4 linked regions of the Alligator mississippiensis genome follow. The protein of the gene in region 2 interacts with the protein of the main gene of each other region in a biochemical or structural test. Links are inferred from orthologs where the notes say so. Each region holds a gene or a part of one and is shown on either strand. Other genes may lie near its edges. The genes, in order: NUP98, KPNB1, NUP153 and KPNA4.

Region 1 (7,836 bases), on a different chromosome or scaffold from region 2:
TACCACTTCTAAACACTTGTGATGAGAAAAGGCAGAAACACATCCTCAGGCTCAACATGCTTGAAGACTGCACAAAGTGTCTTAACAAAGCTCATTTTAACTCCACCTGAAGACTAACGTGGGAAATTTCATCCCAAAAGGAAACTAGTCAAGCAAAAGTTAAAACGTATGTTAGAACGGCAGCTAGAAGAGAAGACCCCACCTTACCAGCAGCAGGAGCGGGGAATTTTCATTTTCAGAAGTGCATCCCCAAAGGGATAAGATATGGTCTAGATGCAGGGACAGGAGCTAAGAAGCATCAAATTCAAACCCCATCTCTGACACCAGTGTCCTACTATGAGGCTTGACTAATTCATGCTTGCAAAATCCCTTGGTGACAGCTGCCTTCTATACAAGATCCAGATACTCTTATTATGGTGACATGAACCGCTGATTTTAAGGGAACGTGCGTGTGTGCGTGCACGTTTGCTGTGGGAAGGGAGAAACCTACCGTAATTTTCGGTTGAGGACACATATGTCAGAAGGAGGAGAGCAATGTTTTCAAGCAGGTTGAGCCCGAAGTTGAAGCGGCAGAGCCGAAGGTAGCGAGGGTGCGTGCAGTGGCAACTCTGGTAGTGGTTCCAGTACGCGATGGCCACCAAGATGCGTGGAGCCGAGTGCAGGCCGATACACAAACGCCACACATAACGCTGAGGGGTCTCACCTCCGATAGCTGCACTGATGGAGGGCAGGTAATTTGAGACCTAGGGAAGAAACAACAGTTTGTGGATCAGACATCAGGACTCTGTATTAGAAGGTCTCATTTACTGCTCTCTAAACTTTTACAGGCCAGATCCTGTCCTACCTATTAGGTGTCCAGATGGACTTAGGTGCCTAAGTGTGATGCTGTGCCACTGCTCAAATCCCTGAAAAGCTATTATACAAAAGTTGGCTTGTCCTCCTGCTTGCTGTTTTGTGTGACTTGGTCTTGAGGGGAAGAGGAAGTCGTGTTACAAACTTGGGTGCATTAAAGGTTTTTTTTCAGGTGAATGAGGATTGTGCACATAAGCACATAACAGGTGGAAGAGGATGAGTCCCTACCTTTTATAATCATAGAGAAAGACCCCCAGGTCTTCTAGTCCGACCCCCTGCTAAACCAGTGCAGCCAAATGTCAGTCTAACCTGCTGTGGAAAACGACCAGGGATAGAGACTCCACAGCCTCTCTAGGTATCTTATACAATGCTTTGCCACCCTCGTAGTGAGAAAGCTCTTTCTAATCTCTAACCTAAATTTCCCCTGCTGTAATGTGAGACCATTGCTCCTTGTCCTATCCCCTGCAGCCACAAAGAATAGTCCATCCCAATGCTCTGTAAAATCACCCTTTGAGTATCTGAAGGCTTATCACATCTGTTTTCTCCAGACTAAATAATCCCAGTGTTTCCAATTTTTCATACTGTGTTTCCCAGGCCTCTAATCGCTCGTGCTGCTCTCCACTGGATGCTTTCTGATTTGTACCCATCTTTTTTGAAATGCGGTGCCCAAAACCGGACACAATACTCCAAGGGAGGCCGCACCAACGCTGAACAGATGAGAAGTATCACTTCCCTGGACTTGCAAGAAACTATTCCATTAATATGGGCCAGTGTGCTATTGACTGTTTTTTTTCTTTTGCACCCAGAGCACACTGCTGGCTCACATTCAGATTCCAGTCCACAGTGAACCCCAAATCTTTGTCTGCAATCTGTAGCCTAGCCAGTCACTCCCCAGGCTATATCTGTACATGAGAGCCTTCCCTCCTACGTGTGGGACTTTGCACTTGTCCTTAATGGATTTCACTCGATTACTTTCAGACCATTGCTCCAGTCTATCCAGGTCATTCTGGATCCTAAATCCCTCCAAAGTTATGCAGCTCCACCTGACTTGGTGTCAGGTCCAAGGCATGAATGGAGATATCGAGTAATACCAGGCAAGCACAGACCCCTGGGAAACCCCCCTCAAAACCACCTCCCAATTAAAGTGAGTCATCAGGGGCTGCTCTTTGGAGCATGATGATCCAACCACTTATGTATCCACCTTCCAGTCTAGGTTAAACTACTGTATTTCCTTGGCTTACTAATGAGAATGAAAAATGCATAGCACAGAGGACATAATTATTCCTGTTTCACTGACGAGGAAACTGATAGAAGCAGAGAGTGATTTGTCTGAGATTACACGGCAAATCAGCAGGGGAGGCATGACACCAGATGTCCAGCCACCTACTCAAACCAGTAGACCACACCACCAATCCTAGCAGCCATACCTTTAACACACTTCCCTCTATGAGGGATTAGAGGGTCTGTAACTTACGCCACAGTGTGTAGCCGTCGTCTCCTGGAAATGGAACAGCAGAGACCAGATCACGCAGAAAAGAAACCCAAACAGCGGGCAACACACGGTCCCAACCGCCAGGGTGGTAAAGCGAAGTCGAAACAGGATCCCATCTCGATCCAGAGGCAGCGGTAACTGAAACATGTTGCTGGACCTAGAAGCAAAAAGCCAGTGTTTGACGGGTGCCCCTTCTCCCACAGGAGGACTTCCCAGCGCCGATGGCCACAGCAGATCCAAGCGATGCAAAAGGCCAAGGTGTGCAGCAAGTCGGCGCATGACCTTTCACATCCGAAACCCCAGGTTCAAACTCTGCATCGCCGGACTAAATACAAGCAACGTGAGTAACGGCTCAGATCTTCAGGCAGGTTGCAGTTTAGCTTCTGTGGGGGTTGAGGGGGGGAAGCTACAGCAGCGTTGATTCAGACAGACCCCCTAATCTAGGGGCAGGGTCAAGAACGGAGCGAGAAAGAGAGTCCCGCACGGACTAATCCGAAACGGTGCTGCACGTCAGTCGCTTCCATCACAGACAATCCTGAGAGCAACTCTCCGGATCAGGTCCGGAGGCTGCAGAGCTGGGACCCTGAACCAGCAAGGCTCGCCCGACCCTCCGGACCGTCTGGGGAAAACAGCGCAGCAGACGTTTCACAGCACGGATCCGGGCAAGTTCAGATCCTCAGCTTTTATCACCATCAGACGCTGAAATACATCAGAGGACAACGTTATCCCAGCACAATTTGAGCTACAAAAAAATTTGCCGGGTTGTGTCTAGACCCCTCTTTATTAACCAGGGTGCCTTGCCTCTCGCTCGAGCCTCGTGGCCCCCTTTTCCAGCCTGCAGACTAATATAGACTCATAGAAATCATAGAGAAGTGGGGCTGGAAGGCACCTCCAAAGAGTATGTAGTCTAACCCTCGGCCTGAGGCAGGATCATCCCAATCCAAGCCATAATCTAACCTCCTAGTAAAACTACCATCAACCCCGGCACGGCACAAGTCTGCACACCACGCACCTGCCACGAGCGAAGCAGGGCGACCACAACAGTCAGTGTCCTGCTTCTATAAAAGATAGTTAAAATACACTCGGGGCGATCCCACGAAAACGGACATTATCACAGAAAACGAGGGGGGGAAGGGACCTCCGGTCCAACCCCTTGCTCCAAGCAGGACCAGCCCCAATTATATATCATTGCAGGCTTACAAATCCCCTGACATACACAACAGAAGCAGGGGAGGCAACCAGCACGGCCCAGAAACCTGGGAAATCCCCATAGCCGAGCGCAGGCATCGCTACGCCTACTACGTTTTATCGAACCTCTCCTTGCGACGGAGCCCACAGCTTTCCGGAGAGGCGCCCGTCTATCCCGCTCCAACAACGAACACGCTGCCGCGAGATCCGACCGAAACCGAGTTTGCTGCCGCGGGGGGGCCGCGTCCTCCTCTTCGAGCTGGATTTGCCGAGAGCGCTCCCGCAAATCCCTCGGGGTCAGAGGCGGTCACGTGAAGCAGCACGGGCAGGTGTGCATCACGCATTGAACACGCGCGGGCTTGCACGGGGGGGGGGGGGGGGGGGATGACGACTCAGCGGGCATCGTGATTCGCACGCCCCGTCGTAACACCGAATCGCGCCGAATCCCAGCTCCCCCCCCCCCGTCGGCAAATGACAACCGCGCGCTCTCCCGGCGGACTTTGCTCGGAGCCGGCCTTGCCCCGGTTGCAACGCGGACACGCCGCGCCTCAAAGCACCCCCGTGCCCGTCTCCCCTCACCCCTCACACGCGCCTGGCACCAATAACCTGAAGTCTGCTCCCATTTGCACCGCTTTAATCCCCCCCCCCCACACTGCAAACGTGAGGTCACAAGATCTCCCGCACCCCCCCTGCCCCTGGGGACCCCCCCACGGGCCCCAGCACCCCTCCCAGTGCCCCCCACATGCCCCCAGTTGTCGTCAGCGCCCCCCCCCCCGGGACCCCTGAGGGAGGCGGGCGCGGGGGGGGGGACTCACGGCGCGCGGCGGCCGGGCCGGGCGGCGGGGCGGAGCCGGCGGCGCAGTCAGCCCAGCGGGCGGAGCCGGCCCGCCCCTCTGGATGCAGCTGCGCATCCCTCCCGCAAAACGGCTGCGGGGGGAGACTTCCCGTGGCGGGGTGCGGGGAGCCGCGCATGCGCACATCAACCCTGTGCCGGCGTGCGGACGTGTTTGGCGGCTCCCCCCCCCCTCACTATGGGAACCGCAGGCCGCCCCTCTGATTGGCCCCGCCCCGCCTTTCGGGCAGCGGTTCGAAAAGCCCCGGATGTCGGCTGGGCGCGAGGGGATTGCTGGGCCTTCCCCCCCTCGGCCAATCAGAACGCGACCCCGCGGCCCAATCAGCGCGGGGGAAGGCGCTCTTGCCCAATGAGAGCCGGGCAACTTCGGTTTCGAACCGCGGCGGCCAATGGGGCCGCGGCTGCAGGGCGGGCCAATGGGGCCGGGGCGGGGCGTGAGGGGAGTGTGACGCAGTTTCCCTCTCCTGCGAGGCGGCGGTAGCGGCGGCAGCGAGCGTCGTGGCGGCGGCGCTGGGCCCAGGCGCGGCCCAGGCTTCGGTAAGCGGGGCCGGGCCGCGGGGTGGAGGCCGCGCCGGGGTGTCCCCCCGCGGGCACGAGGGGCTGAGCGCGAGCGACCTGCGGGCTTTCCCCCGGCTCCGGCCGCCCGCCCGCCCCGCCGACGGCCCAGGCCTTCCGGGCGGACAGGCCGCATCCTGCTTCCTGGGCTCCATAGCAACCCCCTCCCCCGCCCGCCCTCTGACTCCTCTCCCCACCGCCCTCCTCTCCTTGTTATCCTATCTTATTTTCCTTTATTTATTTTTAGGTCTTGCCCTCATAGATTCATAGATGTTAGGGTCGGAAGGGACCTCAATAGATCATCGAGTCCGACCCCCTGCATAGGCAGGAAAGAGTGCTGGGTCTAGATGACCCCAGCTAGATACTCATCTAACCTCCTCTTGAAGACCCCCAGGGTAGGGGAGAGCACCACCTCCCTTGGGAGCCCGTTCCAGACCTTGGCCACTCGAACTGGGAAGAAGTTCTTCCTAATGTCCAATCTAAATCTGCTCTCTGCTAGCTTGTGGCCATTGTTTCTTGTAACCCCCGGGGGCGCCTTGGTGAATAAATCCTCACCAATTGCCTTCTGTGCCCCCGTGATGAACTTATAGGCAGCCACAAGGTCGCCTCTCAACCTTCTCTTGCGGAGGCTGAAAAGGTCCAGTTTCTCTAGTCTCTCCTCGTAGGGCTTGGTCTGCAGGCCCTTGACCATACGAGTTGCCCTTCTCTGGACCCTCTCCAGGTTATCCACATCCTTCTTGAAGTGTGGCGCCCAGAATTGCACACAGTACTCCAACTGCGGTCTGACCAGCGCCCGATAGAGGGGAAGTATCACCTCCCTGGACCTATTTGTCATGCATCTGCTGATGCACGATAAAGTGCCATTGGCTTTTCTGATGGCTTCGTCACACTGCCGGCTCATGTTCATCTTGGAGTCCACTAGGACTCCGAGATCCCTTTCCACTTCCGTGCCACCCAGCAGGTCATTCCCTAGGCTGTAGGTGTGCTGGACATTTTCAACGTCCACTCCGCGTGCCCGCGTTGTGAGCCATTGACTCCTGTCCCTATCCCCGTTTATTTCTTTTCATCATTATCATCATCATTATTATTATTACTATTATTATTATTAATGCGCACACAAATGTGCATATATGTGTGTGTGTGTGTATAATATATATAGAGAGAGACATATAGCCATGTATACACACACGTGTGAATCCATGAAATCACTTACGATTATAGATGAGTAGTATAGCTACATTGATGTATTTATATCGTAAACAGCGATCCTGTTGTTTTGGAAGGACTTTTTTGAGGTGACTTTAGACTTGTTGAAGGGCTCTTGGCCAGAGTCTCCCCCGGCTGCAGGGTTTTCTCGAGTCTTATCCGCTTTCTTAAAGCGTCCGAGGAAGTTTGGACAGATGTTTTCCAGGGAGGTGGGCGACGCAGCGACCTTGTTTGCTGGCGTGGTGTCGGATCGGGCATCGTAAAGTCGAAACGGGGTGTCGGTTTATAAACGTCGTTAAGTGCCGTTCGTTGCAACTCGAAACGTCATAAGTCGAGGGCTGCCTGTATGGTGAGAGGCCGTCAATAATGAACCCCTCTTGACTTTCTCTTTACCACTTAATATTTTGTAAACCTTTGTCCTGTCACCCCTCGGGTGTCTCTTCCTAAACTGAAGAGGCCTGGCCTCTTTAGTATCTCCTCCCTACCACTTATCTTTCTTGCCCTTCTCTAGACCAGTGTTTCCCAACTGCGTGTGGCACAAAAGTGTGCCATCAGAAACAAACAGGTGTGCCGCCGAACTTTGCCACGGCAATGAGTTACAATAGGCGTGAGGATGGGGGAATGTCTTAACAGGTGTGTCGCAGAAAATTTTTATTAAAGTAAGTGTGCCTTGGGCTGGAAAATGTTGGGAAACGCTGCTCTAGACCTCCTCCGGTTTTTTGGTATCTTGTTTGAGATAGGGAGACCAGAAATGGGCGCAGTATTCAAGGTGCGAATGCCCCAGGGATTTTTAAGGGAGCATCATGATACTTCCAGTTTTGTTTACAATTCCTTTCTTCGTAATCTCTAATGGTTTTGCTTGATGGCTGCTGAGCTCATGTTCTTAGTGAACTGTCACAGGTCGCTTTCCTTTGTGGCGACAGCCAAGGTGGAGCTGTCTCCTATCTAGTAGCAATGGTTCTAGAGCAGATTGCTAGAGAAGCAAGGGTTAGGTAAGAAGAGAGAGGGGAGAAACAGGGAAAGCAATAAACACCAATTATTCCTATTACATGGGGTGAGGAGTTGTCTTTATTTTTCCTAAGGGGTGGCAGTGGAGTCGTCTTCCTCTGACGTCCTGTCACCGTGCTCAAATTTGAGTCCAGAAATGGGCACGTACTATTGCGCTGCCTCGAGCTAATTTTTCACAGGAAAGAGAACTCTTGTCCAGCTCAAGCTTACTTTCAGGGGAGAAAGCCTTCAGTAGTTACCTGAGTGTAAAGCCAGTTGCTAGAGGAAATCCTCAAGGGTTGAATGCTGTTTGAGATTCCCCATCTGAATTTGCAGTCTACAGTAATAGAAGAAGCTCCTCTAATTGGATTGGAGTGAGGGGGATGGGAAATGGCTTGTAAGCCAGCTGTCAAAAGAGACCTCAAAAGTCAGTGGGTTACTTGCACCCTTCAGTAGCACAGGAAAGATGAATAAGGTTACGGAGTTAATTGCGCTATAACTACTTCTAGGAAAATACCTTGGCCATAGGAACTATTAAACTTCTGCATATCAGAACACAAATATACCTTTATCACGTGGATGTACTGCACTGTGAGGGTAGTAGTAGCCTTTGGATCTAGGAACCACGATGAATATTTTAGAATAATACCACAAATCTGTTAATGATATTTGTTTAATTTATTGGAACTTTTGAGGGCATACT
Region 2 (7,060 bases):
CTGCATTAATGTCAATACAATATAGCTGGACATAGGAGTTGAAGGAAGACTTGCATCGGCTGTCTGCTCTAAACCCAAATGCAACCAATTCCTAAAAATTGAACAGTTGCACTCAAATGTTAGAAACCTGTACAAATTTCCCAGTAGACAGAATGGAAAACTCTGGTAGTAGCTAGGAACGACTGTAAGCAGCATGTAACAGAAGACCATAGATTTATATATGACCTTTGTGAATATATCACCTGACAGAATTGTAAGGAGGCTATCAAATAGTCTGTTTAGACACCTGAAATACAGTGTTTGCAAATAAAGTTTGGGTCCATCAATATAAGCTCGATTAAGCCTTACAAAAACATCCAAAAAGCATATTGGCCTAAAACAAAAATCTCCCTCATTCACCTTTTACCATAATGAGAAAAGTAATTTTACTCATCCCCAAAGAACTTTTATTATAAAGTCAGAAAGAAGGAATTTTGCCAGACTAGATTGTGGAAGCTGATGAAAAAAAAATGTGACAATGGCAAGGGTCACAACCCCCAAGGAGACACTGGGCTCAACTCTCAAAATTCCATTCTGAATTTGATGCGGAGGAACTCTGGGACATACAGCTGAAAAGCAGGAGCAGCTTGTATTCGCCATTACTTTATTTTCTGCCTGCTTCCTGCAACTATTTATTTAACAAGAACTACGTAAGTAGCTGTTTTATTCTGGGTCCAAACATCAGCAGTTCTATCTGTAATTTAGATAGACTAATTTCAAAATCCTTCTAGATTACATTTGGATTTGGGTCTGCAACGTACATGCTCTCACAGCCTCTATACATAACCAAGCTCTGCCAAAAGTATTGGCTAATGCTCTAGAATGTATGCAGGAAAAAATTGCAAGAACTGACTGGGACACATTTTCATCAGCTGCACCAGTAAAATTTCTCAGCTACAGTTGGGTTCCACAGTTACAGTGGAGGGCTATGATTTACTAAACAGCTAGCCATAGAACAGGAACTAAAGAGAAAGATATTAAACATAAAAAATATTCCAATTATGCTTCAGAAGGGTTCCATGATCACTAAAAACATGGAGTTGCATAACAGATATCTCAGTTTAGTCTGGAGAAGAGACAACTGAGGAGGGATTTGATAACAGTCTTCAGCTACCTGAAGGGGGGGAAAGGGTCCCAAAGAGCATGGAGCTAGACTGTTCTCAAACAAGGAGCAATTGTCCCAAGTTGCAGCAAAGGAAGTTCTTCCCAATACCTCACCTAAACTGTCTCAATAGAAGGGCAGTAAAGCACTAGAACAGGCTACAACAGAGAGGTGGTGGAATCTCCATCCCTGGAGGTTTTTAAGACTTGAGCAGACAAAGCTTTGGCTGGCATGATCTAGTTGGGTATGGTCCTGCTTTGAGCAGGGGGCTGGACTAGATGACCTCCTGAGGTCCCTTCCAACCCTCATTTTCTATGATTTCAGAATTTCTTGTCCATTGACACCGGTGAAGTGGAAAGCACATATATGTCCACATAAAGAAAAACACCCACATTTTGCTTCCAATCTGAAAGAAAAATAGGTGACCAACAGCAACAAGCCACACACCCCTGTACCCTTTCACTGAACTGCCATAATGACAAACAGCTTATTTGGCTGCTCACAGGAGAACCTTACACATTGCAGCCCCATCCATCCTTGATTTTAGTGCACTCATGTGCAGGGGCTGCCATGTGTTTTAACAGGTCAACACGAGACAGCCTTTTGCAGGCCTGAGGGTGTGAGCTCTGCTCCCCGCCACCCTAACTTCCTTAAGAAAATACACTTCAGACACAGACCCTCCCCCAACCCAGGGTGAAGCTCTCTCTGCTTCTCCGAACTCCAGGCCAGATCAGACAAAGGGGGAGGGAGGCATAGCCCAGAAGACAGGGAATGATGATGAAAAGCAGAAAGGGGGTATCAAAAGGGGAAGAGGATGAGAAAAAAAGGACCCAGCCCCAGTGAGTGAGGAAAAAGAGAATGAGAAACAAATGGAGCAAATGAAAAGAAGAAGAGGTGCAAGTGATGGCCAGAGGCAAAAAAAAGTCAGTCAGCAAAGAAACAGAGGAGCACCCTGCACCCAGCCTCGCAAAGCAGCATGAGGGGATGTGGAAGAGGGAGATGGGTCCCCAGCACAGGAAGGGAGCAAGACCCCAGGGGGCAGGCAGGACTTGCCCTATGGTGGCAGTGGGGGCAGGACGGGGGGTAGGGAGCCACCCCCCGCCCCAGCCCGGGCTCCCCACATGTCCCGCAGGCCCCATTCTCCCCCCTCCCGCCGCACACACAGCACCACGCAGCCTAACACCCTCCCCCTCGGGCCGGATGCGCGCTGCGATTGGCCGCCGGGTCTCCCGGGCGCGTCGCCATTGGCCGGCCGCCGCCCCGGCTGGAGCCGGCGAGGTAGGCTGCACCCTTTATGGCGGCCCGGCCCGGCCTGGCAGTACGGCCCCAGCCCGGCCGCCCCGCTCACCAGGTTCTCGATGGCCGCCTGCTCCAGGAACTTCTGCGCCGCCTCCAACTCGGAGCGGTCTGCGGGGAAGGGACAGGCCGCATCAGGCGCCGCAGCTCCCGGCCCGGGCCGGCCCGCCGTCTTCACCTCGCCCGCCCCTGCCCTGCCCTGCCCTGCCCTGCCCACGGGCCCCGCGCGGGGAAAAACTACGTCCCCGCGGCGCCGCGACACGCCCGCCCCACCCGCCCAGGCCCGCACCGCCTGCGGCCGCGCCGCGCCCCACCCGCCCGCCCGGGCTCCTGCCCGCGGCCCCGCGCCCCCTCAGCCGCGCCCGCCGCCGCCGCCTGGCCCTGCCCTGCCCTACCCGGCGAGACCGTCTTCTCCAGGATGGTGATGAGCTCCATGGCGGCGGCGGAGGCTCCGGCGCGGCGCGGCGGTGGGGCGGGGCCCGCTCCTCTCTCGGCTCCTGCGGCGCGGGGACCCGGGCGGCGGCGGCGGCAGCTGCTCGAGGCGACTGTGGCGGCGGCGGAAGGAGAAAGGGGCGGGTGGGAGCGCGGCTCGGCGAGGCGGAGCGGAGGGATATGAGCCGCTGCCCGCCGCCCCGCTGCCGGGGGCTCATTGGCTGCCCGCGCCCGCCACGCGCCGAGCTGATTGGCCGCCCGGCCGCCGCGGCGCATGCGTGTCGGCGGGCCGCCGCCGGGTTCCGGCGCCGCGCGCTGATTGGTCGCCGCCGCGCCCGGGCGCCCAAGAGAAGTGGCGGCAAGCGGGGGGTGTGGGAGCCGCGTGCGCGCTCTGCGTCATGACTTCCCCTCCCCCACCGCGTGCAGCGCCGGGCTGCCGCAGCGGTCCTTGCAGGGTGCAGCCGGGGGCCCCGCTGCGCCGCGGGCAGCTCGCAGCTGGTTTCGGAAGAGGGGGCGCTCAGCCCGCAAGGGTTCGGGGGGGTTGGGTCTCCTGGAAGGGGGGAATCTCCGGGAGGGGGTCTTCTTCCTTGTGGGGAGGCTGGAGCAGGAGGCTGAGAAGCGCTGCTCGGGGGCTGCAGCTCCTGAGCTGAAGGCGGCCGCTGCTCGGGGGAGCTCCGACCCAGCGGGGGAGTGGGGCCCCCGGAGAGGCGAGGCTCCATCGCAGCTGTCACAAAGCGCTTCCCTTGGAAGGATGAAGCCCACCACCAAGGGCTGCGCTAAAGGTAACGTATTTGCCCCTGCGATTGTGGTGGGGTGGGGTGGGATGGTGGCAAGGAGGCTTTAAGATCTCCCCATCCTCTCTTCTCCTGTGAAGGTGCTGCAGCCTCCATGTGCCTACCCAAGAAGAGATGAGAAGGATGCGAGTGCTGCAGAAAACAGCTTTCCTCCAGCCCCAGCTGTGGCTCTTCCTCATCAAACAGCGTGTGTAAGGGGCACTGGGCTCGCACAGAAATCTGCTATATTGGGCACACCTGATGTCAAAGAGTTGTTCCGTGTGCATGATTTGGGTGGTACAAGATCCTGGGGTGCCTTTGGAAAGGGCTGGGAATTACCTGAACATCCCCTTCCTCACTGAAATTCAGTGGCATCCAAAGCTCAGGAGGTGCTCCAGGGCTAGCACTTTCAACACATTTTTATATGCATTGGTTAACTAAATACTCTCCTAGCTACTGTATTAGTGCCCTTAACTCTAACATGACAACAACTATAAGGATATTAAGCATGATCCTATGTCAAGTCATACTAGTTCTTACCTACTTCTACCTGAACAGCATCCCTTGTCCGTAATAGCATCGCAGCCCGTGTTCTCTTCACTTCTGTAACAGTGTCAAATTCTTTTGGTCAGCCCATTGGAGGCAGAGAGCCCAGGAGGCAATAGGAAGCCCACAAATGGTACATGGGGGGAGGAGGAGAATCCCCTTGATGGGCTGGGATTAAATGACACTACAACTAGCACTAGAAATAATCCACACCTGGTAGCACTTAAAACTGACGTTTGTCGGGTATGAATGGTCAGCAGCCCAAGCTACAACTGAACCAGCTCTGACTTTTGAAGCAGAACGTGAAGGTAGTTGACTGCTCTTTTGTCACTGACTGCAGTTCTGTAGAACCCACCACAGTAAGAATGAAAATCTTCACAAAGACTGGAAATAAATATGGTGCAGCGTCCTGCTGGTGAAGAAGGCCGTAGAGAATGTTTTCTATCTGGTTGAATTTCTAGAGGCTGATTCATCTGAGATATACTAGTAAGGGAAGGCAGAAATCAAAGCCTGAAATTGGTGTCCTGTAAGCTTTTGGGGGGGGGGGCAAACATTGTCCTGTTCTGGACAGTGCCCAACACAACGTGCCCTGTGATTTGGCTTCCAAGGTGCTCCATACTACATATCAATAGGGACTAATCTATGCACTGTTTTTGTACTGGGAAAATGTATTCCAGGTAGTAGTGTGAGACCTTTTATTTTCAATGGAAAGAGTAGCAGTCCAATCCCTAGTGTAGACAAAGGATGGCAAAAGATCCCTTCTTTCTGTGGCAGGGGTGTCAAACTCATTTGCTCCTGTGTCCCCTGCCGCCGCCCCCCCAACCCCTGCAGCAGGGTAAGCAGGAATGGCAATAACCCCTATGGGTGCTTAAGCCACTGTTTGTTCAGGGAGCCCTGGGGCATAACACTTCTTTTGTTGCAGCAGCAGCTTACGTATGGCAAACAAGTCCCCAGTGAAGCTCTATACCCCAGAATTCAGTGGCAGAGAGATGGATTTCAAATTCACCCCTGTGGGTGCCTGAACTACTGTCAGTTAAGGGGGCTGTAGAGGTTAATGTTGCTATTACTTGTCCCATCCTTAAATCTCCAGCCCCTCTGGGGGACTGTGGGCCATATGTTTGACACCCTTGCCACAGGAGGAACTGCCATAACATATAACCACATGACATTTCATGGATGTGAACATACATGTCCCTTTAACTACCAGGATAGTTAAAGCAATACAACTTTCACATGTGGACAATACCTGAGTCAAACTCCTGAGATGCACTGATGCTAAATAAAGTCTTGCAGAAAAGGAGAACAAGGAACAAAGGTGCAGCTGCATAATTAAACCAAGGTGAAGAGGGTGTCTCAGCGGTTTGTGCTGTAGGAGGAAGAGTAATTAGTAACACAATCAGGCTCTATTGTATTAAATATGAATGCCATGGGGAGAAGGGGTGAGTAGCCAGATATAGTCAACCTGATTCTCTCAGGCAACAGGTACCCATAGGCTGATAACAGGGAGGGATGAGAGGGGCCCCATTTTTCAGACGGAAGTAGGAAAGTCCTGTCTGTCTGCAGATATGCATGAGACTGTTTGAGCAGAGGTGTCCCATCTCATTCTGCCTTCAGAGAAACAGTTCATGTCTCTCTAACTCATCCTTGTTTCTGCTGACATATGGCTTCCCTGGCACTTTAGAAACCACTCACCATTGAAATGTAGCTGCCTCTGAGGAGGAAGCCAGCTACAGGAGGGAGAGGAAAGTTTAACTGAGGACACTAGCAGAAAATCCTCCTCTTGATATAAAAGGTGCCAGGAGCTCAACACCCAGCAGCCAGATATTACCTTAGACAACCTTCCTCTTCAAGTTCTAGGCACAGTGAATGCCATGGAACTCCATTTATCTCTGAGAAGCTCCTAACCCTGCCAAGAGATGAACCAGTGGAGGAATGGAGTATAAATTTTTAAAACCTGTAAGGTTCCAACTTTGTCATCCTTTCAAGCCATGAAGCCCCTCATAACACTCCATGTTGGAGAAACTGAGACACATCAAGATCATATGGTGTCTGAGTGGTAGGGCCAGAAATAGAGCCCAGGAGTCCTGGCTCCTAGTACTTTATCCACAGATACTGCTCCCTTCCCCTCCTACCCTGCTAAGTGCCTTAGCCTGGAGGGAAGAGTATGCTCTTCTAAGGCAAGAAAGAAGGATGTACAAATATGGAACAGGAACCTGTCCCTAGGGAGGTGGGTGAGTATTAACCCTGCTTTATAATCGGGAAGTTGGTCCAAGGTCAGGCAGAGGTGAAAATGGAATGCAGGTGTCCTTGCTCTTCACCCTGGTTTACAGGTGGAGACTAGCAAAATGACACATCTAAGGTGATGCAGCTAGGCAGTGGGAGAGCTGAGGATGGAGCCTAGGGGTCCTGGCTCTGCCTGGTTTTTCAGCCTCTCCTCATTTTTTAGCTATGCTCACCAGCTGTACATAATAATAACTAGCACTTTTCAGAGCAGAGGACTTCAGTCATCTCCTGTATGTGGAAAAGGAAGCAGAGGCACAGAGAGGGAAAACAAACTGCCTAAGGTTAACCAGACAGCCAGTAGCCCAGCTAGGAATAGAGCCCAGATCTCCTGAATCCCAGTCCTGTCCTCTGCAAAGAGTGTGAACTTCCCTGTGGGTGATGAATATTCCCTGTGATGCACACATCCTGCTGTATAGCTAGACTCACTGATGGAGGCCATTGCTGAGGGTACAGCTGCTTAATCTGCTGTGCATGTGTTAGGTCTAGATTCTCTTACTTGGTTCACTGACTGCTTGAGTGAATCATCCAAAGGTAGAGCAGGACTAGAAAATGTGCTTGGTGCCTGGAGTCACCGTGCTGGAGTTAGAAG
Region 3 (6,946 bases), on a different chromosome or scaffold from region 2:
GAAGAGGAAACTCACTGAGGCCCCATATTCTGAGCAAGTGCAAAATCATTAAGCTTTCACAAAACAGAGCAAACAACTCCTTGATCAGACCTGAGACATCCCACTGGCTCAACCCCCTTCCTCCAGCTACCTCTAAAGCTGCCAATGTATCCTACAGGTCAGGGGTAGACAATCTTTTCCAGCCACAGGCTGGAATGACCCAACCCTGGCTGGGAGATAGGTGGGCAGCCAAAGCCTCACATCCTGCTATATGATGTCTGATTCCACTGGTAACTGCTAGGTATGCTTGTAGAATATCTACTGGACTAAATCCCTTTAAAGACTTAGCTGGATCAATGCCTACTTTTTAGTTTCTGATTGGGGAATAAGTCTGAACTAGGTTTTGAAAAGACTGAGTAGGTTAGCACCAAGGTACTTCTGGGTACATGCAGAAATAGAAATTTCAGGCAAAAAAAAAAAAAAAAAAAAAGAAGGAATTTTAAGGTTACAGACTGCAGCATGTATTGAAGAGAGATGCCTCAAGAGGCAGGTCTGATTCAGAAGGTTTTAGGATTGCAATTTTTTTGACCCGGGTGCCTAAATTCTTTCAAAGGTCATTAAAAAAATTTAATCTAAAGGCCAACAATTTAAACTTTATTGAGGGCTCCTTGCAAGGTACATTTTCCAATGGAGGCTGTCCCTAGTGGGATCTACTCTGACTGGACATCAGCTCTCAGTCATGGCTACAAGCAGAAAACTAGACTGCACATGTAGGCATACGTGCAGATTAGCAAACTACCACACAGCAAGGACACAGGACTCAACTGTTTTGCTTTTCAAATCTTCTCATTTAATAGATTATGGAGGGCCACAGGGATCACACTGGAAGGTTGCATGTCTTGGGCCCTAGTCTAGACTATTAGCACACATCGGCAAAATTTAAGCCTACTACTTAAAATTAGCTGCCCAGAAATAAATATGCAGAATGTTCTGCAAGTTTGCAAGCTCAACCTGGAAAAGTGCTTTTTGAAATATCCAACAAAACATGCACAATTTAATAAACCAATGAGACAATGGAATTTAAAATTATTACAATACAGAAAAGAAACTTTCCTCAGATATTTTACCGTATTTTACCGTAAATTTGATTGGTATATTTTGGTTTCAGTATCTATCTTTACAGCTTTATCATTCTTCAACTAGGTCTCATCATCATGCACATTACCTGATTTTTCAGTTCTGCTTCACCTTTTGCAAAAGTATGTCAATACTTGATCTGAAAGAGTAGCAACTTGCTTTCAACAGTTAGATGTCTGTGTCATTAGGCTGCACCAGAATTTCCGAGACAAATGCACATATCACGCTGTATAAAACAATATTGTGCTTAAGGCTGTACACAAATTACAACTCCCTGTTAATGATTTTGAGAGGAAATATGTCATTGTATATATATCTGTGCGTGTCTGCCTCTGAGCATATATCAACATCTATCTAGATCAGGGGTTTTTAAACTTCTTAGACTCAAGGCACTCCATGATAAACTAAGGCACCCCTTGGAAAATGTCATCTCTTAGTTTTCACTTATTTTTTGACTACGGAAAATTAACAGAGCAACTCTTCAGTTGCAAGGAACTCAGAAAGACTACAACAGGTCAGAATGGTTTTGATTCTGTGGATTATATGAAGGTGTACTTTGTGAATCATGGCTGCATACCTAGCATTTCCAACACTGCATGGCACCCTGCAGCACCCTAGAAAGGATCTCAAGGCACCCCAGGATACCATGGCACCCTCAGTGAAGGTACACCCCCCCAACCTGTATCTACACACATACACGCAAATCCTCATTTACATGGTCTTCTAGCTGAAGTTACTAATTAAAAAAAGCAGTAACTTAGACTGTTGCCTTCAACACTTCCCTTAAGTGTTCCCAAAGTGATACTAGCAAAGTACACAGGGGCACGGCTTATGCAAGCCACGGGCACATCTCAAACAGGTGGCAAGCTGAGGCATTAACAGGGCAGACGCCTTCCCTCCTGCCTGCCTCCAGCAGCTTGGGCTATGCACCCAAGACAGCTCCCTGGGGGAAGAGCAGTGATTTGCTAACAAAAACTCATTCTCTCTCCACCCAGGGAGGCAAGGCACAGAAGGGGAAGGCAGGAGAGCAGTTTATGAAGCAAGATTTCCCGCTCCCCCTTCATATTATATCACACCCAGGATGTTCCAGACAAAAGCCACGTGTAGGGGACCACTCTTGAAAAACTTCAGAGGAAAGGGGCAGGGAAGGAGGCTGTGATGCAGAAGCCCTCAGTGGAAGCACCTGGGGGGGGGGGGGAGGAGTGGGGGGCTTTGTAAACTGGACTGAGATGGGCAGAAACAAGGGTTCAAAGCAGCAAAAATCTGAAACATCAATGGAACAAGATAAAAAAAAAAGTCAGGAAAAAAGTCATCAGGAAAAAATATACTGCACCCCTCACAAGCACACACAACATGCAATCCCCCCATATCCTCCTACCACAGGCAGGGCTGGAAAGCCCCTCTGGCCCAACCACCCAGCCATGTCCATCCCTTCAGCTATTCCCACAACTGGGAGCCCCCCACCATGGGACACCCCCCGCCTCAAACGGGGCTGCGGGCAGGAAGGGGTTAACCCCCCATTTTCCCCCCCGGGGCGCAACACCCGCCAACGGCCGCGCCCGCCACGCGGCCCCGCCCGGCGCGGTGGCTCCCACGTGGGCCCGGGGCCGCACCCGCCCGCAGGCCCCTCACCTGCTTGCCCCGTGAGTAGGGCGTGGAGGCGCCCAGGTGGTAGCGCCGCGTCCGGATCTTGCCGCCACCGCTGCCCGAAGCCATGATGGGCCCCGGGCCCTTCCCCGGGTCCCGCGCGCCGTCCCTCCCCCCGCGGCCCGGCCGCTCCCCGGCCCCGCCCCTCTGTGCCGTCACGGGCTCTGCGGAGCGGCGCCCCCGCCGGCGCGCGGCCCGTCTCGCGGCCTCCCAGGCCTCACGCGCCGCCGGTTCAGTCCCGCCCGCCCGCGCCGCGTCCGAGTCCGCACACCCGTCCCCCCCCCCCCACCCGCCCCGTCCGGCCCAGCAGCCAACCACGCGAGCGCCCGCCCGGGCGGCGGAGCATCACTAGCCCGCGCCCTGTCCCTTGCGTCATCCGACTGGGCGCCTTACCCGGCAGCCCTCGCGCTCCGCCCCGAGGCCTCCTGGGAAGGGTAGTTCTCGCGCGAGTGGGGGGTGCGGAAGGACAGAGCAGAGCGGAAAAGGAGAGGGAGGGAAGGCGGGAGCGCCAGATCGAGGCTGTGACGTAACCCCATCGCCGCGCCCTCAAGCCGTAGCTCGGTGATTCACTGGGGCTTAATTACCGTAATGATCGTATTTGTGGCGCAATTTCAACCCTTGCACGCTGTACCCCTAATAGATAATACTAAAAGTTGTCAAAATGGGCGCTCATTCTCGGGGAAGCTCATTGGTGCAGCATATGCAAAAAAACACCCCAGGTCACTCTCTGGAGGGTCTTAACCAAATTTCGGGTTTGCTGTCATCACTTTCTCCTGACAGCTTGCCTCGGAATGAAGAAAGGCTTCAACTTGGATGCCCCAGTTCTCCCTCACTAGAGGTTACAGGTAGCAATAAAAAAGTAAATGAGGCTGATTCGCATACTTATTTGCATACTTTTTTCAGTGTCCAATAGTTTTGCAGAAAATATGAAATTATGGAAATTATTGTATTTAAGACCTAGCAACACTGCCTCAGAGGAGCCTCACAAAGTTGTAGAGAAGTGGGGCTGGAAGCAGCCTCCAGAGGTCTAGTCAACCCCCTGCCTGAGGCAGGATAAGCCCTCGACAGACCAACCCCTACAGCCCTCCTCTAACCTCTATGAAAGACCAGGGTTTGAATTGCACTTTGACTCTTGGGGGAGCGGTCTACAAAAAAAGTTGGGCTGCCCATCATGATGCCCTAATAAAATCCCCTAAAATCTAAAATCTACCCTGGAGATCTTCAAAAGGAGACTGGATGCTCACCTTGCAGGGATTATTTGACCCCAGCAGTCTTTCCTGCCCAGAGCAGGGGGCTGGACCCAATGATCTCATACGATCCCTTTCAGCCCTAAACTTCTGTGAATCTGTACAATTCTGACACTCCCTTCCTGGTTATGATTTTCAAATCTTACAGGAGGGCTCTCATCTCTTAAGCAAGGGGGGGGCTCAACCTCCCCTCACCCCCAGCTTCCCTGTAATTTAAACCCTTCGAAAGACTTACCCTCAGCCCTGGCATAACAAGGACCTCACACCCGAAACCTGCTGCAGGACAGTGGAGTTCTTCAGCATCAGGGAAACAAAAGGCTCTATATATGTTTACAGCCTTTATATAGAGAGTTTTTGTTTCCCTCATGCTGAGAAACACCACTGTCCTGCAGCAGGTTCAGGTGTGAGGTCTGTGTTGTGTCAGGGTTGAGGGTAGTCATTATATATATGTTCGTATAAAAATTTAAACCACAGTTGATGGTAGTCTTACACACACACACCATTTTAAAGACAGTCTCAAAAGAACTTTCCCGGGCCTGATTTCTGCATTGGGCAACAGCTATGGGTGGATCTAGGATTCTGAAAAGGGGAGGTGCACATGGTACGGTGCATCATCACAGTTTTGCCCAGTGAAAAAGATGCTCGAAGCTCTCTTGATAGATATTAGCCTAGAGCTCTAGTATTCAAGTTAAGATTGAAGCCAAAAAAAGAAAAAGAACAACATGCATTGGAATGTGCATGAATTTACTCAATTACATCAACTAACGAGGCAAAAAATAACCCAATGTTGTTTTGTTTGTCTTGGAGTCATTTTAGTTAAAGGCATGTCTCTCTTTCAGATCCCTAAAACAAAACCAAGCCATCTTGAGCATCTAGGCACAGCACATGTGCCAGAGCATGACATGTGAAGGCATTTTGCTTGGCACACATGCATTGGGACAGACAGCGGGGGAGCCACAAGGGGCCCAATCTTTGTTGTGGCAGTACAGCCCCGGCCCCTTCCCTGCTGCCCACCCTGAAGTGCACATACACCCACCACTGGCAATGAGCCAGGCCAGGGTTCCAATGACCCTAGTTCAGCTTTTTGCAGCCTCCTTGCAACCTGCCGCAAAGAGCCCAGGCTCCTGCCCAGAGCTGGGGCCTGCTGTGGCAGACAGCCAGGAGTCTGTAAACAGCTGCACTGGGATCCACAAAGCCTAGGCCCAGCTTGTTGCTAGCAGCGAGTGCACTTGGGCCTCAGGGCAGATGGCAGAGAAGGGGCTAGGGCTGTACTACCACAACAAGGATCAGGCCCCTTTTGTCTGCCTCTGGCACATCTTACAAGTCAAGGTTGTAGGTGTTTTTGGCACTCTACCCAAAAATGTTACCAACTCCTAATCTAGACAGTTCCCCCAAGTGCTCCACTGAAAGTTAATTTCTACACTTGAGCTAACATTCACTTGAGTTTGTGTTCCTACACCTGAAAACCACTGCTGGACTCTGAAATGGGAGCTGTGAGACTAAAAGCAGCTAGTAGCAGCATGGTAGAAGTGAGAGCTGGACGAAGGGAACCATTAAAGACTATTTTAATGGAAAGTTTAGAAGGAATTGAGCAAATTCTAATGAGCCATTAAGTCAATGGACTCCCTCACTGCTGCCTGAATAGAAATGCTGGCTTTTAACTTTGGATGGACTAGAAATCAAAGCAGGGTACGAGTGTACCAGTGCACCGCCCTCATCCCCAGCTGGCATGCACTAACCTTAGGTTACACATGCACAGACCTTAGCAGATCTCTCTCACTCCTTTTGTTTCCCCCCCCCCCCCCCAACCAATCCTCAACTTGCTTGTGGGTGGGGAGGGGCCTCAGGGAAAATTCCATAGGAAAGCAGGACCAAGGACAGTGGTGGTTTGATTGCTCAGGTGAGAAGCTGGTGTCTTTTTATTTTTGTTTTTTTAAATGAAAGACCGAGTTCAAGCAGGAAGTGTAGCTTAAAGTTTTCCCTCCAGCCTCTTCTTGCAAAAAAACAAACTTTTTCCAAAAACCTCCCTTCAGCATACCAAGTCGGTCTGTGCAAAGCGGCTAGTATTCGCTTTGGATTCAGCTGATTCGGGGGGGACAGCGATTCGATTTGGTGATTCGAAACACTGTCCCTAATTGATTTGGCTCCCGCCAAATGAGCCGAATCTCCGAATCACACAGGCCCCATCCCCTGCCCGCTCTCAATGGCTGCCCCGCCCAGCTCCTGGCTCTTTGGAAAGAAAAAAAAGAAAAGAAAAAAAGCCTAGCACTCACCAGCTGCTGCCAGGCACTGCCCCATGCTGCATGCGGGAGGGGGGTGGGAAGCCCTCTGTCATGAGCCCACCCCTGGCTGCTCTCCCAGTCCCTCCGTGGCTGCCCTGCCTGCCGCAGTTCCTGGCCCTTTAAAAGACAACCAACCAAGCAACCTACCCACCCTGCTCTCCAGGTCCTGCCTGGCAGGGGGCAATCCCCACTGCCCCCCCCCCCACTTTGTGGGGCTTTTCCACAAGCCCCCAGAAGCAGCAAGGCCACTGCAGGAGCCAGCGAGTCCAGGGTAGGTTATTTGTTTATAGGGCTGGGAGCTTGGGTGGGCAGGGGTCAGGGGTTTGTGGCAGAGCACCCCCCATGCAGCAGAGGGCAGTGGGGGGGCAGCAGGGATTGTTGCCCACCTGGCAGCACCCAGTGAGTAGGAGCTTTTTTTTTTAGAAACTGAGAGCTGGGGTGGGCGGAGCAGCCATGGGGAGGTGGGAAGGGAATAGGGGCTGGCAGGGGTTCCTCTATAGTCCTCTTCTCCAGCCTTCCCTCCCCCACCCCGTACTTACCAGCATGGAGTCTGGGTTCAGCTCCCTGAAGCAACCAGCAGGGACTGCCAGAAATCACTGAAGTTCTCCAAAGTGATTCAGAGAGCTTCAAATAGATTCAGACCTTTTAACTAGT
Region 4 (7,059 bases), on a different chromosome or scaffold from region 2:
GCGCACGAGGCCATTTTGCTTGGCACGCTGTGGCCAGCCCTGGCCAGCAACGGAACTTGGGCTGCTCCCAGCTGGGCTTGCAGCATCCCAGCTGCCTGTTGGCTGCAGCCGGGAGGTTCCAAACAGCAGTGCCGGGCTCTGGCATCAGCTCCTCACTGGCGTGTGCAGGCGCACCTCTGAGCGGGCGGTGGGCGAGGGGCCTGAGACGCCGTATGCCCGGTCTCTCCCCTGCTCCCAGCATGGAGGTGAAGAGATGCGCTGGGCTCATCATAGCCAGCCCGGGCTCTGGGCAGCTGCAGTGGGCAGAGTGCAAACAGCTGCGCTGGGCTGCACAGCTCTGGCATTGGCTCCGTGCTGGCGGCGACTGCACGGGCACCTCGGGGCAGTCAGCAGGGCACCCCACCCCCAAGATGGCAACCCCGGGGGGGGGGGGGCGGCTATCCTAGCAGCCCTCAACAGTTCACCAGAACTTGGTAATTGGCCCTCAAGCTGAAATAATTGTCCACCCCTGGGCTAGAAGGTCACAGTAGTGGCAGTATTGTTCAGTGTCTAGGGCATTCCATGCAAAACTCTGTAAATGTATAGGCTGTCTAAACAGATATCACGCACTAATTTGATTCGTAACTGTTGAGCCTGTTCTGTTAATAAACTTATAAATGATTAGTTGTAATTTCAGTATTTTAACTGTTTGTGATGATCTGCACCAGTCACACGTGGATGAAAAACATATATATATATATATAGCTCAGTGATCAGTCACTTTCTTATCTTTGTTTCTCAAATCAAATTGGTTTCAGCTGTTGTTTCTATATATTTATTTACTAATCATTTTGTCTTGTAAAATTATAGTCTCAGATGCTCTGAATTTACAGACTTGCCACTTGCTCGTTTTATTTCCCATAGGTGTTAGGCAGTTGTGATTTCCCCCCCTCCCCCCCCCCCCCCCCCCCGCTATTTGAATGGCATGAAAAAGAAAACGTTTTTATTTCATAGTGCCACTGAGCTTAGTTATACAAGGAGATGGCTTATTTCAATTATATGTGCCCATTTACAAAATTCTAAATGTTTTTGTGACTTGGCCTCTTAAATTGGGCATTGCTTAAAAAAAACCACTGAGGAATGCCGTGTGTACAAGTTAGATTTTATACTACTAGATTTTCAGTTACTTTATTAGCTTAAGTATAAATCCTGACATTGATTTTAATATTTCGTTTAAAGCTTTCTAAACGTGTGTCTTATTTGCTGTTCCTGTGACTGGTACTTTTTATTGAAGGACTTTATGTACTAATGGATTGTGTCTCTTGTCCAGCTGTCCTGGGTGCTGCAGCTGTGTTACATAGGGTCCTATGTTGTGGCCTTTGGTATGTTAGGAAGCTGTTACAGTTTTTAAATTCTGCTTGTGGTGATCTGTGTCCTTTACTCTGTTTTTGTTTCTTGTCCCCAAGCATAAAATAGCTTTTTGTTGTTCTTCCAGCTTTTATTAAAATTACTTTTCCATTCTCCTGCCCCAACTAAAACATTTAATTCAAACATGGCTTGTTCAGTAGAGTAAAACAAATGTTCGAAATGCATCAGGTATGATCTTGCTCGTTTTATTATGAGCCTTGTGTTAGGGATATAAATACTGTTTTTAAAATATTTGTTTAACCTTCTCTAATTATGTGGGTTAAATGATTAAGCTACAACATGGCAACTGCTGAGAGCGACTCCTAGAGCTTTTGACTGGGGGAAGGGGTGGAGGAGGCAAGCCCAGCCAGACAACACAGTCTAGGTGAAGCCTGTAAAGGAGCAATTATGCGTTTAATTGATGAGTAATTAGCAGGGATCCTGGTTTTCTCTGATTTTAAATAAAATTGCAAATTCTCTGATAACCCCAAAATCCATGATTAAAATAAAAAGCCACTATGCCTGCCTGCCTGTAAGTTGAACACAATGTTTTATTGATATATTTACAATTTTAAAGCAATTTGGAAGCACACCAGTGCCTCGATCACTATAATACATTCTAAATACTTGTAAATCTTGGTATTTAGTTGTGTGATTTTATCATGGAAGATCAGAGCTAATCTCTGCCCCCTTCATTCACAGAATGCAGGTCCAGGCCCCTTAGCCCTTTTACCCCCCACTAGTGGGGGCCCCCAGCTGCCAGGGTTACAAGGCCAGGGACCTGGGTCTGAGCCCTTGGCCCTCCGCAGCAGCACCTGAGCCCTGGCTGCTGCCCACGGGAGGTGGTGGCTGCTGTTGCAGAGTAGCAGAACCTGGCACCCAGCATGGCAGGGCAGAGTGGGGCTGCCCAACTCCCTTCCTTCCTGTGGCAGCCTCAAACCCCCACCCCTGCCTGACTTACCTGTGAGAGCTGCTCTCCAGGCTCCCTGGCAGCCATGTGCGTATACGTGTCTCTGGCCTGACTGCGCTTCTCCCGTTCCCCCCAGCCCCTTGCAGGCTGGAACTCTGCCATCCTGCAGATTGCTCATTGCAAAACTGCAAAATCTACATGTTTCTCTGTTAAAATGATCAGTCTGTATTTTCTTGGGTGAAGGGGGAAATTCACTTTTTTCTGTTTTTCCATGGTAAATGGAAAACCTGGATCCCAGGTCCTTAGGCTGCTAGCTGTTTTCCTCTTAAGCTATGGGTACTATAGTCCCCCTTGTCTCTCCCACATCCCTTTCCCCACCACCTGGTTCTTCCTTCCCCGCCCTCCCTTCTCCTGTCCTGGTGCCTTCTGAGTCCTGCTGGGGCACCCACCCCAAGTTGAAGGATAATCCTAAACTAACCCATTATCACTGCACATACCAGTTAAAGGATTAATCGTTTAACCTTTCACATCCCTACCTTGTGTTGAGCTGGAAGGATTTTTGTTTCTAGAGGACAAAGGAGGGGGCACTTAGTTGCATGTTGGCAGTTAGAGGAACATTCCCTATTAAATTCTTTGAATGAGAAGGAGATCAGTGATATCTCTTTTCCCTCCTTCCGCTGCCCCTTCCCTTATCTCGCACTTCACTCTGTCAAAGGAAGCTTGTTCTATAACAGTTGAAAGTAGCACTTTCCATATTGTGTGTCTTATTTAAGCCTTCCAGGAAAAATTAGGTTTTAGTTAAATGAATATTCCTCTTCAGGAATACAGATTAAAATTTTAATTTTGTCAAATTCAAATTTCAAGTCCTAATCTTCAAGCTTCTTCCTGGTTACATTGCTAGTTTGCAGAAGTCTTTCTTTTAGCAGTTCCTTCCCTTTGAGCTTTCTTTTAATACTGTTTCTTGAAATTGTCAGCTTACTCTACACAAGTCTACCACCGTTTCTTCATTCAAACCTCTTATTAAAATCGTGTTTTCTTTAATTTTCTCATTCTAATTTAATATTAAAACAAGATTCTTTTAACATTAAAATCTCATTACAGAAAAAAAATTGCTCTGCTGTCTTACAGATGGAATGTGTAGTGATTGCTTTCTGAACTTGAAATCAAGTCAGGCATCAGAGTTGAGTATTTTTAGCATCCGTAGCGGCTTCAAATTTGTTTCATTAACTTGTATAACTTTATAGTCATATTATTCTATTTAAGTACATTTCTGCTGTATGAAAGATGCGCAAATTACTATCAAAATTACAAAGCTGGCTTCTTACATAATTCCTGTACCATAACTGCTACAACAACACTCCAGTCGTAACACAGCACTTAAGACATATTTCATATAAATGAAATATGCTTTTATTTTGTTGCTTATCAGATTTCTTCTGTCTAAACTTTGTGCAGTAATTTAACCATGGTTATTAATATATCTGTCATTCTAATAGCAATACTAAGCTACAGCAGAACTGACTGAGAAGCCTGCCACAGTAGGTAGCTTTATATTGAATGATGGAACTTGTACAAGTGCTTCTGTGTACAAAAGCATGCATTTAGACCAGGGCATCTGGAGGATGCTTCAGCTGAGTGTATTTCATTCAGGAGAGAACATTTCTAGCTGTATCTAATTAATAGAATTAAATTATGAATTGGGTTTGTTTGTAGAAAATCTTTTTTTCATAATGACTTTATCGGTGCTTAAGCATTAAGGTTATAGAGTGAAGCACTCAAATAAGAAAAAGTGTTAAAGTTGCATGCACAAACTGCATGGATTCTGGCATCTCAGTTACATTGCTTTATTGGGACTCTTCGGCTTGGAGAAGTGAAGACTCAGGGGTGACTTGGTGGCAGCCTGTAAGTATATAAGGGATGTGCATCAGGAACTGGGAGAACATCTATTCACCTGTGCTCCCTAAGGGAAGATAAGATCTATCAGTCACAAACTTCTAGAAGACCGTTTTAGACTGGACATAAGGAAAAACTTCTTTACAGTCCTAGTCTCTAGAGTCTGGAATAGACTTCTCCCAGAAATGGTGCAAACACCTACTCTGGATACCTTTTAAGAAATGCTTGGATGGGGTGATCTGACCCCAGCTGACTTCCTGCCCCCTGGACAGGGGGCTGGACCCAATGATCTCACAAAGTCCCTTTCAGCCCTAATGTCTATGAAATCTATGAAACTGAATGCAGATTGGAAACTAGTGGGGAAAGCTGTATACTTGTTGCTTTGAATTTGGATTGAATACTATTTTCACAATCTAGATGAGGAATAGATTCTTTAAGATGATAGTTTGATATTCTGGAGTTTGATTTGGTGTGTGCAAAGGATTATGTGACAGTTGTCTAAGATGGCAGGATCACACTGACCTAGAAGATCTCTTTTCATTTTGACTTCTTCTGATGTGAAGTGGCAACTGAAGAAATTTTAAGTGTTTTGCACAGTTTGTGCAGTGAGTCAAGCGAAGTTTCATAGAAAAGATTAAATATTACCTTACTGCCTCATTCACTGTGAGGTAGTGTGCAATAAATTAAAGTATTTGTGAATTTTATTGTATGATAACAGGCTACATGGTAATCCATACACATGGGGGAAGGACTAAAAATGAAATCTTAAGGTTGAGAGTCACAAAAAACTAAGCATACCAGTTATTAATTCAAGTGAGTTTAAGAGCAATTATCAGATGCTCTACTTATGGTTCATGCAAGGAAGTTAAACTTCATTGGTGCATCTACCCATGCAGTTAATGCAAAGCAGTAAACTGTGAAACAACTCAAGCTGGACTAAACTGTTCCCAGGTGCAGTATCTATATGTGTACCCGGGATGGTGATTTGAGCCAGGGCAGCAGAGTAGGCCCCCAGCTGGCCGGGCTGACCAGATATAGTTTACTTCTGCGATCAGCCTCTATACGTCCATTTCAGCGTGGTAAATGACTCTGCTGTAAGATAGTACTGTCCCCAACAGTATTATCTTATGGCAGAATTTTAGTTTACTGCGCCCTAATATCAACTTGCATGTAGACAGTGATGCTTTACTGTGGAGCTAATTAGTCAGCTCTGCAGTAAAGCATATATTTAGATGTGTCCTATATGTTTTGGATGCAAGTAGAGTAACTTTACTTCCATTGCATTAGTCTTCTACTGCAATAGTTTGTTCAGTTTTAAGGGCAAGATCCACAAGAGGCCTTCAGGTTGGTGATACTGAGCCATGAGTCAGTCCTGGGCACCAGGGCAAAATTAGTAGCCTGTTGATTCAGTTATACACCTTTCAAAATGCCTGGGGGGGAATTAGATGCCTTTAGAATGGGTTTCAATAACCAGTATTGTTAAGCTGCCCAAGGGCTCCAGTAGCAGTCAGGGACTCAAGATTTTAAGATTGACCTCACTTACCCCCTTTCTTTTAGAAACAAAACAAGGCTCCTGTTTTTCTTTCAGAATATGACTAGAAGAGATGGTGGCAATGTCACTGTTTTTTCTAGGATAGCCTTGTGGTTAGAGCATGCAAGTGGGATATAGGTGGCCTGGGTTTAATTTCTTATTCCTCAGGGGATTCAGCGCATTCCCCGCCAAGCCCCATCTTCCTCCACCCCAGGTGAGTGACCTGATCTGCAGACTAAGCTGTTCTGTGAAAGTGGTGGAGCTTTGCAGATCATTAGATTAATTGGGCCAGAGTGCAAGTGTGATTGGTCTGGCAAATAATGCAGTTGAAAGCATATCTGCAAAATGACTGCTCTTCACTAGTTTGTAATAACATTTGGAATAGGTTTTTGGGGTTTTTTTTGTTTTTGTTTTTTTGCCATGTTATGTGATATAAAACAACTTGCTTGTCCCATGGTCCTGTGTTAAGTATGTTATTGATTTATTTCCTCCCCATTTGATTTTTTTTTTCCCCCCTTTATTTTACATTGTAGATATCTGTTAGCATGTTCTTAAATAGTACAATAAAGAGTTAATTATTTGAAGTGTTTAGTTACCCAAATGCAGGACATGTTGCCAATTTGTGTCATGAGTGTTATAAATGAGAGCAGGGACAACAAAATAATTGTTAAATATTATTAACAATTAAAGGGAGGCCAGCGTGGGCAGGTTAACCTTTTTAATGGTTTAAAATTTTTTTTCTCAACCTTCAAATAAGAAAAGGACCTGTACATGTATACATGTTCATTTAATAAGCATTTCATTAACCAAAATTGGTTTTTATTAAAGGAATTAGTTCCTAGTTAACTGACTCTATTATATATTTATTGCTATTTTTATATAAAAAAATCTAATTTTGATGGCCTCAGTTGAAAGAAAAATGGTTTAATTAAAGTCTTAAATGTAGGGAAAATCATAATGGTCACTAGGTCCAGATTTGGAATGTTATTTAATTGTTCTGTTTTCAACTTTTCAGACTATGAGAAGACAACGAAATGAAGTTGTCGTGGAGTTAAGAAAGGTGAGATCAGTTAACATTGCTTCTTTCAAAAACAACTTGATGTCTCAGAATTTTGAGTTACCAGTATCTGTATGATCACAGTGCATATTCTTTTGTAGACCTTTGTGAAAGATGCTATCAATCTTTTGTTTTATAAAATTTGTCCAGACATTTGGACAGCCTTTTAGTGGGAGGGAAGCTTTTGAAAGGCAGATCTTACTAAGTCAGAATCTAAGAACTCCACCTAAGTTGTCTTCCTGTAAACTAATTGAAGAAGTTTTATTTCAACTAGTTACACAA

What was found.
Region 1: the proteins of KPNB1 (region 2) and NUP98 form a complex in vitro, tested with the Homo sapiens proteins (3 studies listed by BioGRID). The link is inferred for Alligator mississippiensis from reciprocal best matches to the Homo sapiens genes KPNB1 and NUP98.
Region 3: the proteins of KPNB1 (region 2) and NUP153 form a complex in vitro, tested with the Homo sapiens proteins (4 studies listed by BioGRID and IntAct, with this or other methods). The link is inferred for Alligator mississippiensis from reciprocal best matches to the Homo sapiens genes KPNB1 and NUP153.
Region 4: the proteins of KPNB1 (region 2) and KPNA4 form a complex in vitro, tested with the Homo sapiens proteins (2 studies listed by BioGRID and IntAct, with this or other methods). The link is inferred for Alligator mississippiensis from reciprocal best matches to the Homo sapiens genes KPNB1 and KPNA4.

Annotation. Positions count from the first base shown.
Region 1 is NC_081824.1:481,359,035-481,366,870, reverse strand, and holds the start of NUP98 (nuclear pore complex protein Nup98-Nup96), read left to right. Parts: upstream 1-4,819; 5' UTR 4,820-4,922; intron 4,923-7,836. Other genes in the region: PGAP2 (post-GPI attachment to proteins factor 2), read right to left, coding at 491-743, 2,327-2,623. UniProt on the Homo sapiens protein: Plays a role in the nuclear pore complex (NPC) assembly and/or maintenance. NUP98 and NUP96 are involved in the bidirectional transport across the NPC. May anchor NUP153 and TPR to the NPC.
Region 2 is NC_081827.1:167,231,605-167,238,664, reverse strand, and holds the start of KPNB1 (importin subunit beta-1), read right to left. Parts: upstream 3,012-7,060; 5' UTR 2,873-3,011; coding exon 2,833-2,872; intron 2,549-2,832; coding exon 2,490-2,548; intron 1-2,489.
Region 3 is NC_081826.1:130,932,210-130,939,155, forward strand, and holds the start of NUP153 (nuclear pore complex protein Nup153), read right to left. Parts: upstream 3,001-6,946; 5' UTR 2,833-3,000; coding exon 2,749-2,832; intron 1-2,748. UniProt on the Homo sapiens protein: Component of the nuclear pore complex (NPC), a complex required for the trafficking across the nuclear envelope. Functions as a scaffolding element in the nuclear phase of the NPC essential for normal nucleocytoplasmic transport of proteins and mRNAs.
Region 4 is NC_081830.1:68,628,900-68,635,958, reverse strand, and holds the start of KPNA4 (importin subunit alpha-3), read left to right. Parts: upstream 1-4,052; 5' UTR 4,053-5,841; coding exon 5,842-5,934; intron 5,935-6,735; coding exon 6,736-6,780; intron 6,781-7,059. UniProt on the Homo sapiens protein: Functions in nuclear protein import as an adapter protein for nuclear receptor KPNB1. Binds specifically and directly to substrates containing either a simple or bipartite NLS motif.